2 linked regions of the Pelodiscus sinensis genome follow. The protein of the gene in region 1 interacts with the protein of each later gene in a pairwise test. Links are inferred from orthologs where the notes say so. Each region holds a gene or a part of one and is shown on either strand. Other genes may lie near its edges.

Region 1 (7,170 bases):
GTCTCAAAGCCCATCCCAAATTGCTAGCCGATGTCGGGCCTCTATGGGATGTAGGGCAATGTCACCAGCCTCCTTTTACAGAGGGGGAAACTGAGGCACAAAGGGACAGGACTGGCTCACAGTCACACAGCTGGTCTGAGATTGGATCCCAGAAGGAAACTGAGGCACACAAGGACAGGATGTGCTCATGGTCACACAGCGAGCCAGAGGTGAGACTGCATCCCAGAAGCCCCGAATCCCCAGTCCCTTGCTCTAACTACTAGACAACATTGCCTTCGTGTTGTAATTTAGCTCTCAACTGAACAGGAAAGGTGGTAGGGAGAGGCACTCATGGAAATTACAGGGAGGCCCGCAGACACTCCCTGTTGGGATGCTGGACCTGCCATCTTCTCAGCACTGAGCCACGCCGGTTACCCCTCCCCAGCCGAACCTGGAGCCAGACGATCCTCTGGTACACGTCCTGCCTCATGCTCATCTCCACATCGAACTCCGAGAGCTTTTTGTCCGCCTCCGTGCTCGCCGTGCGGATATCTTTGTGAGGGGAGACGTGCTGGGGGAAGTCCAGCATGTTCCTCTGAACTGCAACGACAAAGCCAGGAGCTCAGACTATAGCTGGAGCCGCCAGGTTAGGGAAGGAAGTAGGCGGCAGTTTCACAACCCGGAGCCTGACATGCACCCAATCGGCGGGGGCAAGGCAAGCCACTCCCACCGACATGCCCCACACCCAACCTGAAACAACCCTCTCTAGCACTGAGCTCCATCATCCACAGGTCCTGGAGTCAGATCTGCCGGTCAACTCTACACTGCAAGTTCTTGCTGCTCCGGATAGGATCTCACAACCCTACAGCTCTATTTAGCAATACCATTGATAACACCTGTCCCTTACAAAATGGCCTGAGACCAATGTTCCCTCTATAGTTTTGTTGACAAAAGTCCACTTTTGTCGACAAAACCCTGTAGTCTAGACACACTCCTAGTGATCAGACTGAGGAAAAGATACTGTTGTAGGATTTATGCACCACAGAAAACAGGTGTTACCCTCTGGGCCAGCTTCCTTTACAAACATGGTGTTACTTTTTCAGAGCATTTTAGCTGGAGTCGTAAAGAGAAATAAATTGTTTGCACAGGAAAAGGAACCAGACACACACATGCCTGCTCCTCCCACACCCGATCATAGAAGTTACAGCTGGAAAAGCCCAGACTGGTCATCAGTGTGCAAGCTGGGGAGAGGTTCAAATCTTGCCCAGCTCATTAGCAGGTTGCCCACAGCTAGGTTTGTGTTTCTATGGGGGGTACACATTCGCACACGCCCCAGCGTGCATAAAAATGTATTCCGCACATGGCTGGAAAAAAATGCACACGTGGCCGGAAAAGATTAGAGGGAATATTGCTCGTCACCCAGTCATCTCTCTGCCAACACATGGCTGATCCCTACAGCACATCGCCTAGCCTTTTGTCCAGATACTGAAGCAATTGGCAACTTCAACGTCTTAAATGTTGTTTTTTAAAATCACAACTAGCGGGGCTTCCAGCTTGGAAACCATCCCATTGCCGAAGTCACCAATGGGCCAATTTTTCCCGACATTCTTTGTTTCCCCATCCACAGACTGGGGGTGGTGGGAAACAAAGGAGGCAGATGCTTTGGGATCTAGTGATTCAAAGGAGCCCTTTAAATTGCTGCCTGGAGCCCCTTAAATCACCGTTTGGAGTACTGTGCTCTAGGCAGCTCTCAGGGCTGCCTGGGAGGTCGGGGCACCACAGAATCCAGGCAGTGCTGGGGAAATGGGGGGGGGGGGAGGAGCACTGTGGTCCAGGCAGCATGGAGGGCTGGCCGCCCCCAGCTCTGCCCCCTCCGTGTGAGGTCCTGCCCCTCCGGGGGCTTCCTGCCAGCCATCTTGCCCAGAGGCACTGAGCACAGCAGTTGGATCCCTGCCCATCCAATTTCATCCTATTTCTCCAAGTTACACGCTTGTGTAGAAACCCTACATTTCCTCCAGGTAAGACAGGCTAATGGAGTTACACAAGGAAAAGCCAATGATTCAGTTGACCAGAGACGCACACGATCTAAAAACCACTCAGCGACTAACAAAAGCTAGAAGGGTTCCAGAAACAGCCAAATCCTGTTTGTCCACATACCTGTATACTCCACTTCCACATCAGCTAGAATTTTGAGAGTATTTTCATAGGAGACCTCCCCCTGCTCCTGGGAGCCCACGTGGTCGTATACTTGCTTGGTCTTCTCTAGGAGCTCCACGGTCATGTTTTCTATTTGCTCTGCTGTCAGGTCCCATCTTAGCCGATTCACTGGGAGTCTGTGGGACTGGCTGTCCACAACGTTACCTGAATAGGTTGGAAAGAGATCCATCTCTCAGATATTGCCCTAGAAGAGGGTGGAGAACTAACTCACAGGGACTCAAGAGACAGGTACGGCAAATACCGCAGAGCTCAGAAGAGAACCTGATCTGTTTGAACCAAAGAGTAAAAAGAACAGTTGCAACACTTTATGCCTCCTATGTATGGCAACTCCTGGGTAAAACTTGATTCCTTAATTAGCTTGCCCTAGATCAGGTTTGCTATTGCAGAAGGGCTGGCAGAGATGTGTGGCAGAACCTTGCAACACTGGTTTCGGGGTGGGGGAAGTAACACACAAAGAACCCAGAGAACTGGTGCAGGAGGAGGCAGATGTTGGGAAGGCAACACTCAGCATAGGCTTAATGAGAAGACAAGTGACTGCAGCAGACCCAGCAGCAGAGCTGCCACCCTCCCGGTGCTGGGAGTAACTCCATGCTGGTGAGCTTTCTCTCTGAGACTCATTCCGGCTTGGCAGAGCTTTGCAAACCTGGGGAGGAACCTCTTCTTGCTTGTAGGGGGATATTTAAGGGTCATGCACCCTGCCCCCACCTTCCTATCCCCATTCCCCCAGTCATGCATCCTGCCCCACCTCCCCAAGCACTGTCTCCAACACACGTAAGAGTTACCTGCTCTCCCCACCCCTCCCTCCTCCTCCATCCCACACTGCCCCCCAACTCCACATCGTCTTCCCATGCCCCCGCCCTACTCCCCACTCTAGACTTTGCCCCCTTCCTAGATATCCCACCTCCCTATCCACTCACTGCCCCATCACCCCGCCCCCACTGCCACCCCCTAAATATACCCTCCCCCAGTACCCCTTCAGCCCTCCATTGCCATCCCCTAAATATCCCCTCCCCCCATCACCCCACCCCCACCCCCAAAATATCCCCTCCCCCCCACTGCCACCCCCAAAATATCCCCTCCCCCCATCACCCCACCCCCACCCCCAAAATATCCCCTCCCCCCCACTGCCACCCCCAAAATATCCCCTCCCCCCATCACCCCACCCCCACTGCCACCCCAAATATCCCCTCCCCCCATCACCCCACCCCCACCCCCAAAATATCCCCTCCCCCCATCACCCCACCCCCACTGCCACCCCCAAATATCCCCTCCCCGCCCCACACGCGCCAGCCGGGCGGTACCTGTGGGGGGCGCCATGGGGGGGCGGGAGGAGGCGCCGCAGCCACTGACGCTCAGCCCCGAGCACGCGGGCCGGGGGGGGCGGCGGGGAGGAGAGAAGGAGGCAGCGCGAAGGATTCTGGGAGGGTGGAGGACTGCGCGGGGCCAGCCGGGGGCGGGGGGAGCTGCCTTAGCGCCCCCTCCCGCGCTACGTCTCTATGGTCAATCGCGGGGAAGAGGGGCCCTGCCTGAGCGATCCCACAATGCATTGGTTCACCCGCCCCCATGGCGTATTTCCGCTTCCGTCTGGCGGGGGCGGAAGGGGAGGCCTGTTGCGCATGCTCGCTGGCTGGCATGGGCGGACCCGCTGCTGGGCGCGTGAGTCGCTGCGAGCGGCGGAAGTGTGGGGATGGAGGGCGGCGCCGCCGAAGCCTTGGCGCCTGCGCAGTAAGGGGGAGGGGCTAGCGCGCGTGCGCAGCGTGCGCCTGGCGGTGAAGGGGCTGAACGCAGCTCGGAGGCGCCTGGTGAGTAGCCGGGGCCCGCGGGGGGGCTCAGTCTCCGCCCCCCCCTTGTCTCTGGGGCGCTTGGCTGGGCCCTGGCCCGGGGGGCTGGGGGCCTGGCTGGGGGGAGGGGGGTTGGGGGCTGGCTGGGGGGAGGGGGGTTTGGGGGCTGGCGGGGGGTTGGGGGCTGGCTGGGGGGAGGGGGGTTTGGGGGCTGGCGGGGGGTTGGGGGCTGGCTGGGGGGGCGGGATTTGGGGGTTGGGGGCTGGCTGGGGGGGCTGGCTGGGGGCTGGGGGGGTTGGGGGCGTTGGGGGCTGGCTGGGGGGAGCGGGGTTTGGGGGCTGGCGGGGGGTTGGGGGCTGGCTGGGGGGGCGGGGTTTGGGGGCTGGGGGGGGTTGGGGGCTGGCTGGGGGGCGGGGTTTGGGGGCTGGGGGGGTTGGGGGCGGGGTTTGGGGGCTGGCTGGGGGGCGGGGTTTGGGGGCTGGCTGGGGGGCGGGGTTTGGGGGCTGGCTGGGGTTGGGGGCTGGCTGGGGGGCGGGGTTTGGGGGCTGGGGGGGGTTGGGGGCTGGCTGGGGGGCGGGGTTTGGGGGCTGGGGGGGGTTGGGGGCTGGCTGGGGGGCGGGGTTTGGGGGCTGGGGGGGCGGGGTTTGGGGGCTGGGGGGCAAGCAGGGGCTATGCTGATTGTTGAAACTGGCTTGGGGTGACTGTTTCCAATAAAAGCTCTTTCAGGAAGGTGGCTGCTGGCCTGGACTTTGCTTTATTTGGGGTTTAAATAGCAGCTGGCAGCTGGGTCTGTTAACTTGAAAGCAAAAGTGACGGTGGAAGGTCTGATGGGTTTTTCGTCTCCTGTCAAAAATGATGAGTGAGCTTTTCAGCTGGGGTGGGGAATCTCGTGCCTGGGGGCCGGAGGCAGCCTCCAGCTTGTTTGGATCCAACCCTCAGGGCTCCCCCCAACATTGGGGAACTCATGCTGGCACTGCAGCTCCCCCGCCATTGCCCTACAGGACTGGAGCACACAAAATCTGCTAGCCAGGCCCCCCTAAACTCTAGTGTGGGAGAGGAATGTGGGGAATGTCTTTCTCCTCAATCAATTTTTGTTTTTTGTTTTTTTCTTTGCTTTTCACTTGTGTGTGGCCCTCAACTGATTTTTCTGTGCATCAGCAGCCTCTGACCCGAAACAGGTTCCCCACACCTGTTTTAGCCATGTCTAAGCTAAGAGTGCCTTACTGGTGTATGGATACCGGTATACTATACCAGCAATGTGCTGCCAGTGTGATGCAGTTTATACTGGTCTAGCTTATTCCACTCACACTCGGACAAAACCGGTAAGCATGCAGTTACTTCAAGTATCTGCCTTAAGGGCTTCTTCCAGGACACTGGTTAGTCAAGGATCACACCTCTGTCTAACATGGCTATGCTGGCAGAAGCCTATAGTGTAGAGAGGGTCTCTGGGAAAAAAAGTATATCCTGCGGGAGTTTCTGGGCACTGGTGATAGCATTATATGTTCTCATAGTTCAGTAAAAGCAGGGGGGGCTATTCTGTATGAAAAAGCAGAAGTAGGATTTGAAACTTTCCTGAAGTTTAGTGTAAGGATGCAAAATCCTTTTTAATTCGTTAACCAGTTAAATGTTAAGCTTAACTGTTAACTGATTAAATGGGGGTGGGCGGGCTGGAGCGGCCCATGGGTAGGGGCTGTGTCAGGCTGGTTGCTTCCACCCCATGCTGGCCCCCGTGGGCTGGGAGCCGGCAGCCAGCCCTTCACCTGTGACAGGCCCTGGCCTGCTCCCAGGCAACAGATAACTGTTACCCAGAAAGCTTTGTCCATTAAGGTGGGCTTAAATTTGGGTTCCCCACTCCTGAGATCATGTAGTACTTATTGTTGCCATGCAGTGAAGTCTGAGAACCTCTGCTTTAGTTAACAAAGCTGATTTATTTAATGTCTCTGGATGTGCTATCATTTAATTCCATTCAGTGCGAGGCTGAGCAGACTTCCTCTGTGCTGAGGAGCAAGTAGACTTGCCAATGGGTATAAGTATCTTACTGATTGATTAAGTTATTCAATTATAGGTGGATTTCTACTTAAAATAGGTAAGGGTTAACGTTCATTGCCGGGGGGAGGGAAAGCACATGGGGAAACCTGTCCTGTTGCTGCACATGCTTTGTCTGTCTTTAGTGGATAGGGGACTTTGGTTGCTGGTAGGGATGTGAACAGGTAACTGGTGAACCAGTTCCCAGGGAGCAGCCCATGGGAGAAGGGCTGCTCCAGCCCCACCTGGCCCCAACGGGGGTGGGGTGGCAGGGACTGGGAGCAGGAGCCCTGCAGGCTGGAGGCTGCTTTAGCTGGGCTAGAGCGATTTCCCCCACCCAGGATCCTGCTTAGTTGGTTAAATGTTACGTTAACCGTTCCTGGTGTTAGTTGTCATTGACGGGTGTGACCCCAAGTCATGAGTTTGACATGAAACTTTCACCTATTTTCTTCCCACTTTGGAGATCAACTTGTCCCACTCTGCTCTGCTTGGTGCTTAGCAGGGTTACTTTTGCAGGTGACTGTTGTTTTTTTCTGGCATCTTATTTAAATTTAGACTCTGCAAAGTTAAATTGAATCTTTCTCTGCTCCCACGCTAACTGCCTGATCATCTGTGCAGAACTTCTTCTAACGCTGAACTAAGTCTTTTATTGTTAACCGGGTCGAGAAGTATAAGAGCCAGCGATATCCAGGGCATGGTGGGAAGTGTGATAGTGGACTGGCACATGACTCCCAGTGCGGTCTTCCTGAATTATTTCCAGCTCTGATATTAATGTTGGGCAAAGGATTCTGCCTCTTGCGCGCAGTTTCCCATCTCTGAAATGGTCGTATGTGTACCGAGCAGGGGTCGGGCTAGATTGTCAAGTGTCTTCTGCCTAGGCCACAGGTGGGCAATAATTTTTGATAGGGGAGGGGCACGCCATGATTTTGGTAAGTGGTCAAGGGCCGCACTTTTCTATGGAGTAAGTCTGGGGTGGAGGTTGGGTGCAGAAGGGAGCTCAGAGTAGGGATGTAAGCAACTAATCGACAAGCTTATGGTTATTGGATAGTTGATTAGTGATGTGACTAGTTGCTTCCCCCACTTGCTGCCTCTATCAGAGAGAGGCAGCAACTGAGGGGAGCAGGAGTCGGTGTTGTGGGGAGCCAGCTTAAAAGCTGGTTTCCCTCCC
Region 2 (7,941 bases), on another chromosome or scaffold:
AATAGAAGCAGGAGGAAAGAAGCAAGAGGTTGGAAGAAGACCAAAGGGAAACAAGAAACACCAAGAAGAAAGGGGAAGACCTGGAAGAACTACTCCCCTCCAAGACACAGCCTAAGAACAGAGCTGCCAGGCTTCTGCTGCACGACTGTAACATGCAGCAGCTAAGATGCAGAGAGACTGACCTTGCCTGGAGGAAGTCTGCCTGTACCAGGATTGCTTAGCATGTGTTTTCTGCTTGTTTGAGATTTGTCAATAAATAGAGGATAAGAATATTAGTGTGTGATGCTCTTTCATTGGCTAAAGATCCTGCCAACCCATGGGAAGTTACACCCTGAGCCCTAGGAATTGGGGAAGGGTGGGAGTATAGGGATAACATATTAAAGTATTAAAAATGATTCCCCCAAGTGGAAGTGACTCCCCATAATTTGTTCCCCACAACTTAAAGTCTAAGTAGCATAAGTTTGTTAAGTAGAAGCATATAAGTGTTTAGATTTATTCTTGTTAAAGTGTTTAGATTTAGCGTTATCAGGCTTGATGAGTGTTTAGATTTATTATTATTATTTGTTAAGATTGTTAAATGTTTAGATTTATTACTATGTAGCGAGAAACAGCTCCCCTCTGTGTCCCAGGGCATGCTCAAGCTTTTGCAAGGGGCTGCTTGAAATTGACATTGCAGGGATACATTGTAACAATGCATTGTCAAGCCACTAACTGCTCTGGGAGCCAAGCCCTGTAATTGACTAAGGGCATTGTTACACAATTGACGCCTGTTCTCTTCGAAGCATTGTGAAGCAATTAACCCTAATCGCAAAAGTGAAACATTGTTGTAACTATAACAGTAACTAACTCAGCACTCAGAGAGAATGTTTTAAGAAATGCCACCCAGAAGCTTTTGTGACTTTTTGTAACTACAACTCTTGCATATGTAAAATTATTATTATACAAAATACTGTATGTGAAACATTAATTAGGGAATGTATGTAAGAGAGAGTGTGCTTGGAGGATGAATGAATGGTTTTGAGAGGTGCCAGCCTGAGAATGCAGCAACAAAGGGCTGAAGAAGGCATCAGGTGCCAGTGCAACCAAAAGGTGTCAAGTGGAGAAAACCAAGTACTGGAGGTCCACCCTATGAGATCACTGACAAGCACCTGACAGCCACCCTGGACATCAGCATGATGCAGCAATTCCCATGGACTGGCATAGGAAGAAATTCCTATAAGAACTGGACTAAAAGACTATGGAGTCAGAGTCCAAAATTCTGCTGCCAGCCCACCAGGAGCTTCAGATGCACTTCTGATCAGGACTTCACTCCCCACTCCCATCACTTGTGTACAGAATACCTGGCCAGTATTCTGTCACAAGCAACTTCCAGGCTGGTAACTATAACCTGAATGAATGTTATATATATTATTATTATCATCTTTACAATAAATGTGGCTTTTTGCCTTATCCCTCCCCCCATAAGATCCTGCTTGCTTTTATTGGTACAACAGGGGTGTGTCCCTACAGTGTGGAAGGGATAGAGAAATGTATGCAGGTAACAGCCCCCCATCAAAGATGGAGGACCCATCTTGTCCTCCCTCATCCAGACCATCTGCCACCTGTCCAGCTGCAGGCACACAGCTCCCAGCCATGACAGACCCTTCCTTGGGAAGCCCTGCAGTCTTCCATTTCCTCATGGGGTAAACTCTCAGGAGCCAGGCCCCTGGATTCCTCAGCAGCCGTTTGGTCTCCAGGCTCTGTGTGAATGCTCTGCTCCAAGACATACACCTCTGTCACCTGGGGTTGGACCTGCATCCTGCTGTTCCCATGCCCTTCCTGGGCATACCACAGCCTGGGCAGACCCACTGACACTGGGCAATGACTCAGGGTTAGTGCAGGCTTCCTTCACCCCTCCCCGCAAATTGTCCAGCTCAGCTGGAGGAGAATCAAAGAGACTCTCTCTTGCCCCCTCCCCAGCCCCTGTGGCATTTATCTCTCCCTCTGGGATTTCAGCAACAGATTCCTTACCCCCAGCTAACAATCCCTGGAATGGACACAGCCACATTACAGCAGTCAGCACCCTGAATCAATGGTGCAAAGTACTCTGTGAGCTCTTCCTTCTCCGTCCATTCCAAGTCGTATTAGTTTTAGAGCTTCCTCATGGGCAGCTTGGGCTTTTATGGCTTCTATCTCATGCTGCTTTAACTCCACCAGTGTCTTGTGTTCCACCTCCCTGGCTGCTTCCCGGATTCTGTACAGTTCCCATTCCTTCTGCATCTCACTCTATTTCCCTTGCCCAAAATGAGCAAACAAAAAATAACAAACCAGCAACCACTTTGTCTGCCTTCCAATAACCACACTTAGAACCCACTTAAAATCACTACAAGCAACCAGATGTGCACACTTACCCTGCTTGTTGCGACACTGTCATGGGTGAGAATAATTCTAGGGCTTACCCCGGAGTACCCAGCTGTCAGGAGAAACAGGTAGTTGGTCCATAGGACAGAAAGCTAGGCAGAGTGCAAGTTCAGACCCATTTCCAAGGCACAGCTCAGCAGCATAGCTCTGCAAGGATAGCACAGCACTTAAATATGTCAAGTGGGTGGGCCTATGCATCTCTCTAGCCAATCGGAAGAGTTTAGTTTATTCACTGGCTTCCAGCCTCAAACTGTTACCCCAACTGGGGAAAAGAGATTTAAGAGCAGGCCTCCAAAATCGTAAGATTGTCTTTAAAAATTGATCTTCAGAATAGAATACAAGGACGATTTTTCTCTTGGCTGTCTAGCCTTTGGGGCTCCTGTTTATAGCCTCTTTCTCTGCAACCACAAGGAATAGAAACGTGCTATTTTGTAAATGAAAGCTGAAATTTTGGTGTATTCCCCTAACTTCTGTGCATAGGGCTTTTCATTCCCACTGCTGCAAGGCTCACAGTAAGTCACAAAAGTCAGCAATGGTCTGTCTCGGGAGAGGCAGGATAGTCTAATGCAGGGGTCTCCAACCTTTTTAAGCACGAGATCACTTTTTGAATTTAAGTGCAATCCAAGATCTACCTCAAATATAAATACCCTTGCCCTGCCTCCTTCATGCCCCTTCTCTGCGGCCCTGCGCCCCTGCTCACGCCATCCTCCCTCCCTCCCCGACCTTCCCTCACTTTTACCAGGTAGGGGCAGAAGGTCGGGGTGCAGACTCTGGTCTTGGTTTAAGGCAGAAGTTCTCAAATTTTGTGATGCCACAACCCCCCTTAAGTTGCTCGTGAACCCCTGGGGACTTGGGACCCACATTTTGAGAGCCCCTGGATTAAGGGATATAGAATGAGAGAGGCTCAGAGCTGAACTTGGGGCAGGCAGTTGGGATGCCGGAGGGAGTTCTAGGTGCAGTCTCTGGGAGGGTGTTTGGATGCAGGAGTGCTCAGGGCTAGGGCAGGGATTTGGGGTACAGGAGGGGGTTCATGACTGGGGTAGGGTTTCAGGAGGTGGGCACTAGCTGGGCACTCTTTACCTCAGGGGGCTTTTGGGTGGCAGTGCAGTGGGGCTAAGGCAGGCTCACCCCTGCCCTGGCCCTGCACTATTCCCAAAAGCAGCCAGCAAACTCGCTCCCAAGTCCTGTTGTGCCCCCCTCCATAAATCCAAGTCGGGAGACAGGAACCTACAACTTTGGAAGAACTGCAAGGAATGACAGCACAAGATTTGGTGGCACTAGATGGCTGAGCAGCCAAAGCCCCGGTGGACTTCTGGATACACTGCCTTCGCATTGGACACTGTCCAACCCTCTGACAGCGATTTCAGGGGGAAGGTGTGACAGACACCGCTCCATGCTTTACGAAATGGACTAATGGACATGAATATACATAACTCAAAGGTGCTTTGAACAAATTATTTCATGTAACCCAGTGATCTCCCCCGATGATCCAAAACACGTGGGGGTATAGCAGTGCCCCCCCCCCCAGAATGTAGATAGCACCGCCTATCCATATGCACGTCTTTGTATTTAGTCACCATTGCTGTGAGGCAGGGTGCCTCAGTTTCCCCTTCCAAACAGCCATGCAAGATAACTGTGCCTCTGCAGCTATGCCTAGCTCTAAGCCCATGCACAGTCAGTAGCTTAGAAGCTGCGTGATTCTGGGATCCTTTTACCCCTGTCCTGAGGCTAGACAGCAGGAGCAGCCCGTGGCTATTGGCGGACTTGGCCGCCACGTAGGGCGCCGTCGCCCAGGGCACCCGATGATGACATCACAGGGGTGCCCGCCGATGATGTCAGTCCATTGACGGCCCTGCAGGCGGGGGCACCAATCGTGCATTCCGCCTGAGGCGCCAGCTGCTGCAGCCGGCTTCAGGCCGCTCCTGCTAGACAGCCAAGAGAAAAATCACCCCTGTGTTCTATTCTGAAGCTCCCAGTTTTTAAGACAATCTTACGATTCTGGGGGCCTGCTCTTAAAACCCTTTTCCTCAGTTGAAGTAACAGTTTGAGGCTGCAAGCTAGTGAACAAACTAAACTCTTCCGATTGGCTAGAGAGATGCATAAGCCCGCCCACTTGCCATATTTAACTTCTGCGTTATCCTTGCAGAAGTATGCTGCTGAGCTGTTCCTTGGAGATGGGTCTGAACTCGCACGCTGCCTATCTTTCTGTCCCATGGACCAGCTACCTGTTTCTCCTGACAGCTGAATACTCCAGGGTGAACCCTACAATTATTCTCACAGGACCACAAGGTAGGAGCACCCCCGGCGGGTTGTCTGTGACTGCACCCCATCACATTCTCTTTTTTGATCAGTTTCTTAATTTTCACAGAGGCTTCTTCTCTTTCTCGACCTTAACATGGTTTTTTATTTCAGCTCCTTTTCAAGCGACACAAATAAAATTTAAGACGGCTGCTAATGCCCAGTCCCTGGGGAGACGCTGTAGCAGACGCTGTAGCAGACACTGTTCCTGCAGCAACACACATACTGAGCAGCTGAAATGCCTTGTAAAACAGTTAGCTTTCTGTTTGTTAGAGTTACCTGGCCTGCTTCTCTGTGCTAGTTTGGCGCTATGCAGAACATTTACTCCTCCATTCTCCTTGAGCAGGATCTGAGCCCCGAAGGCAAGAAAAAACCCTTAATACAAAGGAGCCGTGTTGCAGAGGAGGAAGCGTATGCAATGTTTCGGTGGAGCCCATGTGACTGTATAGAGCAGATTAGCTTTTACGGTGTCCCTTTCTGCCACACCCCCAGCTGCCTGGTTAACTTTGTATAGGAAGGCATTCACAGAAGGTGTGACAGCATTTCGGACTGATACATTATTCCACGCTATTTGCCTGAACCACACAGACAGCTGGGCTGGAAAGCTCTTGTCAGCCTGTGTGACAAGTAGCTTCTCTGTACAGGATACTTTTTCCCCTTTGTTGCGGGCACATTCGCCCCCAGCTCTGGCTTAGCTTGGCTGCTGTTCTTCGGCCGTGCAGCTCGGAAGCAGATGTTGAGGGCATTGGGGGAGGGCACCGAGACAGGGGAATATTCAGGCCTCAGAAACCTTTACATGGTTTTTTATTTCAGCCCCTTTTCAAGTTGCAAGGGTTTTCCACCTCCCTCCAAAGCCTCAAGCTGAAGCGAGGCTCAGGTGGTTCATGGGTGACCGGTGCGGTGAACTTCCTCTAGCGCAGATACAGGAAGTTGTAGAATTCTGGAGTGTTGCCAAATAGCCTCTCACTCAGAGATTTCGAACACCTTGTCACTCCCAGGCCCCCCCCCCCATTGAGTGCAGAAGGAAGTGTCTTCAGGCGGTCTCTTGCTTTGCTTGCACAGAACTGAAGGCTACTCTGCCAGGCTATGCTTTAGGGTTAGGAACATTTGGCTCCCACACTGAGCTCCGGCGTATCAAATCAGACCTGGCTTTACCGCAGGGTAGGAGAGTAAGAGACCAGTGTGACTTCAGGCTGTGTGTGCAGAGGAGGGAGGAGGGAGGCACCTCGTCCACCACTCTGGAGGTGGCTGCACCTGGAGCCTGGCATTTCGGTCTGCGTGCTTCCAAGGCAGGGGCAGTCTGGAGAGAAAGCAAAGGGAAGCGATGCAAAGGGTGCACAATGGGGTTGGTCCTGCTTTGGGCTGGGGGCTGGACTCATGATTTCCAGAGGTCTCTTCCAGCCCTAGGCTCCTATGATTCTAAAGGCTGGCAAGCAAGCCTGCTGTTGGGTACCAGAGGCTTGGGGCCATGCTGCCTGTCTTCCCAGTGCTGGGGCTGGTGGATCAGCTGCGAGGAGGGGAGTTGTTTCCTGGTCAGGGATCTGGCCAGCATGCCCGGCCCAGGGAGGCTGGTGCTGCACCTTCCAGTTCTGGCTCTCCACTCTGGCGCTCCAGGGCCAGGGGAAGCTGGGGCCACACTGCCCACCAAAGCTCTGGGGTCAGGGCAGGCTGCAGTCATGGCACATGCTGGCTTTCCAGAGCCCCAAGGCAGGCTCCAGTTATGCTGCTCACCAGAGCACCAGGTAGGGTTGCCAACCGGGCCAGACAGAGCCATGGGCGAGCCGGGCAGCTGCCCAGGGTGCCAACCCACGGGGGGGGGCACCTGATGGCAGCTGTAAGGGGCGCGCGGTGTCCCTTGCAGCTGCCATCAGGAGCCGCGCGCCCGGCTCCTGCAGCGCCGGCCCCGCAGCGCCGGACAGCAGTGCCCTTGCCTCTACAGCTGCGGGGCCATGCATGGCCCGGCACGTGCGCTAGCAGCACTGGCTGGGCCGGGCTCGGCAGCACATGCGCCGTGCGCCCCGGGGGCGGGCCCGTGCATGCTGGGGGACGGGGACGGGCTCACACCTCACGGGTGGGCCTGCGCATGTGCCCTGCACCCGGGGGCCGGCCCTGGTTGCCAAGAGTCTGGTTTTGAACAGGACAGTCCAGTATTTGAGGGTTCTGTCCAGGAAACAAATTGAGAAAATACCAGACATAAAATGAGGCTGCAGCAGGCCAAATGCTCAACCTTGCCTGGGGACTCAGCTGTGCCCACCAGATATGCCTGGATTTGCATTGTCCAAGCACATGGACTAAGGGCATAAAACAGAACACAGTGGCTCCATGCTGTGTATAAGAAGCTGGATATGAGTCAACAACAGTGGGCCCTTATAGCCAAGAAGGCTTACGGCATATTAGGGTGCATTAGGAAGAATATTGCCAGTAGATCTAGGGAAGTGATTGTTCCCCTTTATTCGGCTCTGGTGAGGCCACATCTGGAGTGTTACAGCCAGTTCTGGAGCCCCCATTATAGTAAGGATGTGGACACATTCTTCCTTTTCTAATAAGGAAAGTGTGGGAGTTCACCTATAATGATGGGAGAACCTCTCACAGCCCTGATCTTGGCTGAAAATGTCCAATGCTCATGATAATGCATGGTTCTGCCACATATTTTCCCCCAGATCACGAAAATAACTAATCTCTCTGTGGTGTCTATAAACTAGGGGTGAGCGTAACAATTCTACCACCCGAGTGTTGTGAAGCTCAGGAATCCATGTATAAATCTTGTAACAAAGGGAAAAGTATTCTGTATTTTTTTAGCTTGTCTGTCTAGCAATGACCATCAGAGGTCAGCATGCCCTCAAGGGTCAATTTGCTCTACATCCATAAGTTCCATTGTGTTCAGTTTACATCTATTTTTACTGAAAATGCCCTGGATTTTACAAACAGCATTATTCTTTTTTTTCTGACTCCCACTCTACTTTTTATCATTCCAATAGATAAAAACTTGTTTTATTAGAAAAACACAATATATTGCATTATCAATGTATATTATGATCAGACATTAGTGGGTGTATATATGCAAAGCTGCCTGTTGAAGTAAGGCCTCAGAGGAGTAGCCGTGTTAGTTGGTATCTGCAAAACAATGAGCAGTCTTGTAGCACTGTAGAGACTAACAGATTTATTAGGGCATAAGCTTTGTGGATAAAACCCGTGTCATCAGATATGGGGTTTACCCATGACAACTTATTCCCTAGTAAATCA

The links. The genes of interacting proteins can lie anywhere in the genome.
Region 2: the proteins of SGTA (region 1) and F11R interact in binary tests that used the Homo sapiens proteins (3 or more experiments, as listed by UniProt). The two-hybrid records come from large-scale screens. The link is inferred for Pelodiscus sinensis from reciprocal best matches to the Homo sapiens genes SGTA and F11R.

The regions. Positions count from the first base shown.
Region 1 is NC_134729.1:17,550,537-17,557,706, forward strand, and holds the start of SGTA (small glutamine-rich tetratricopeptide repeat-containing protein alpha), read left to right. Parts: upstream 1-3,841; 5' UTR 3,842-3,998; intron 3,999-7,170. Other genes in the region: THOP1 (thimet oligopeptidase), read right to left, coding at 431-579, 2,137-2,365. UniProt on the Homo sapiens protein: Co-chaperone that binds misfolded and hydrophobic patches-containing client proteins in the cytosol. Mediates their targeting to the endoplasmic reticulum but also regulates their sorting to the proteasome when targeting fails.
Region 2 is NC_134734.1:14,059,771-14,067,711, forward strand, and holds the start of F11R (junctional adhesion molecule A), read left to right. Parts: upstream 1-4,560; 5' UTR 4,561-4,574; coding exon 4,575-4,689; intron 4,690-7,941. UniProt on the Homo sapiens protein: Seems to play a role in epithelial tight junction formation. Appears early in primordial forms of cell junctions and recruits PARD3.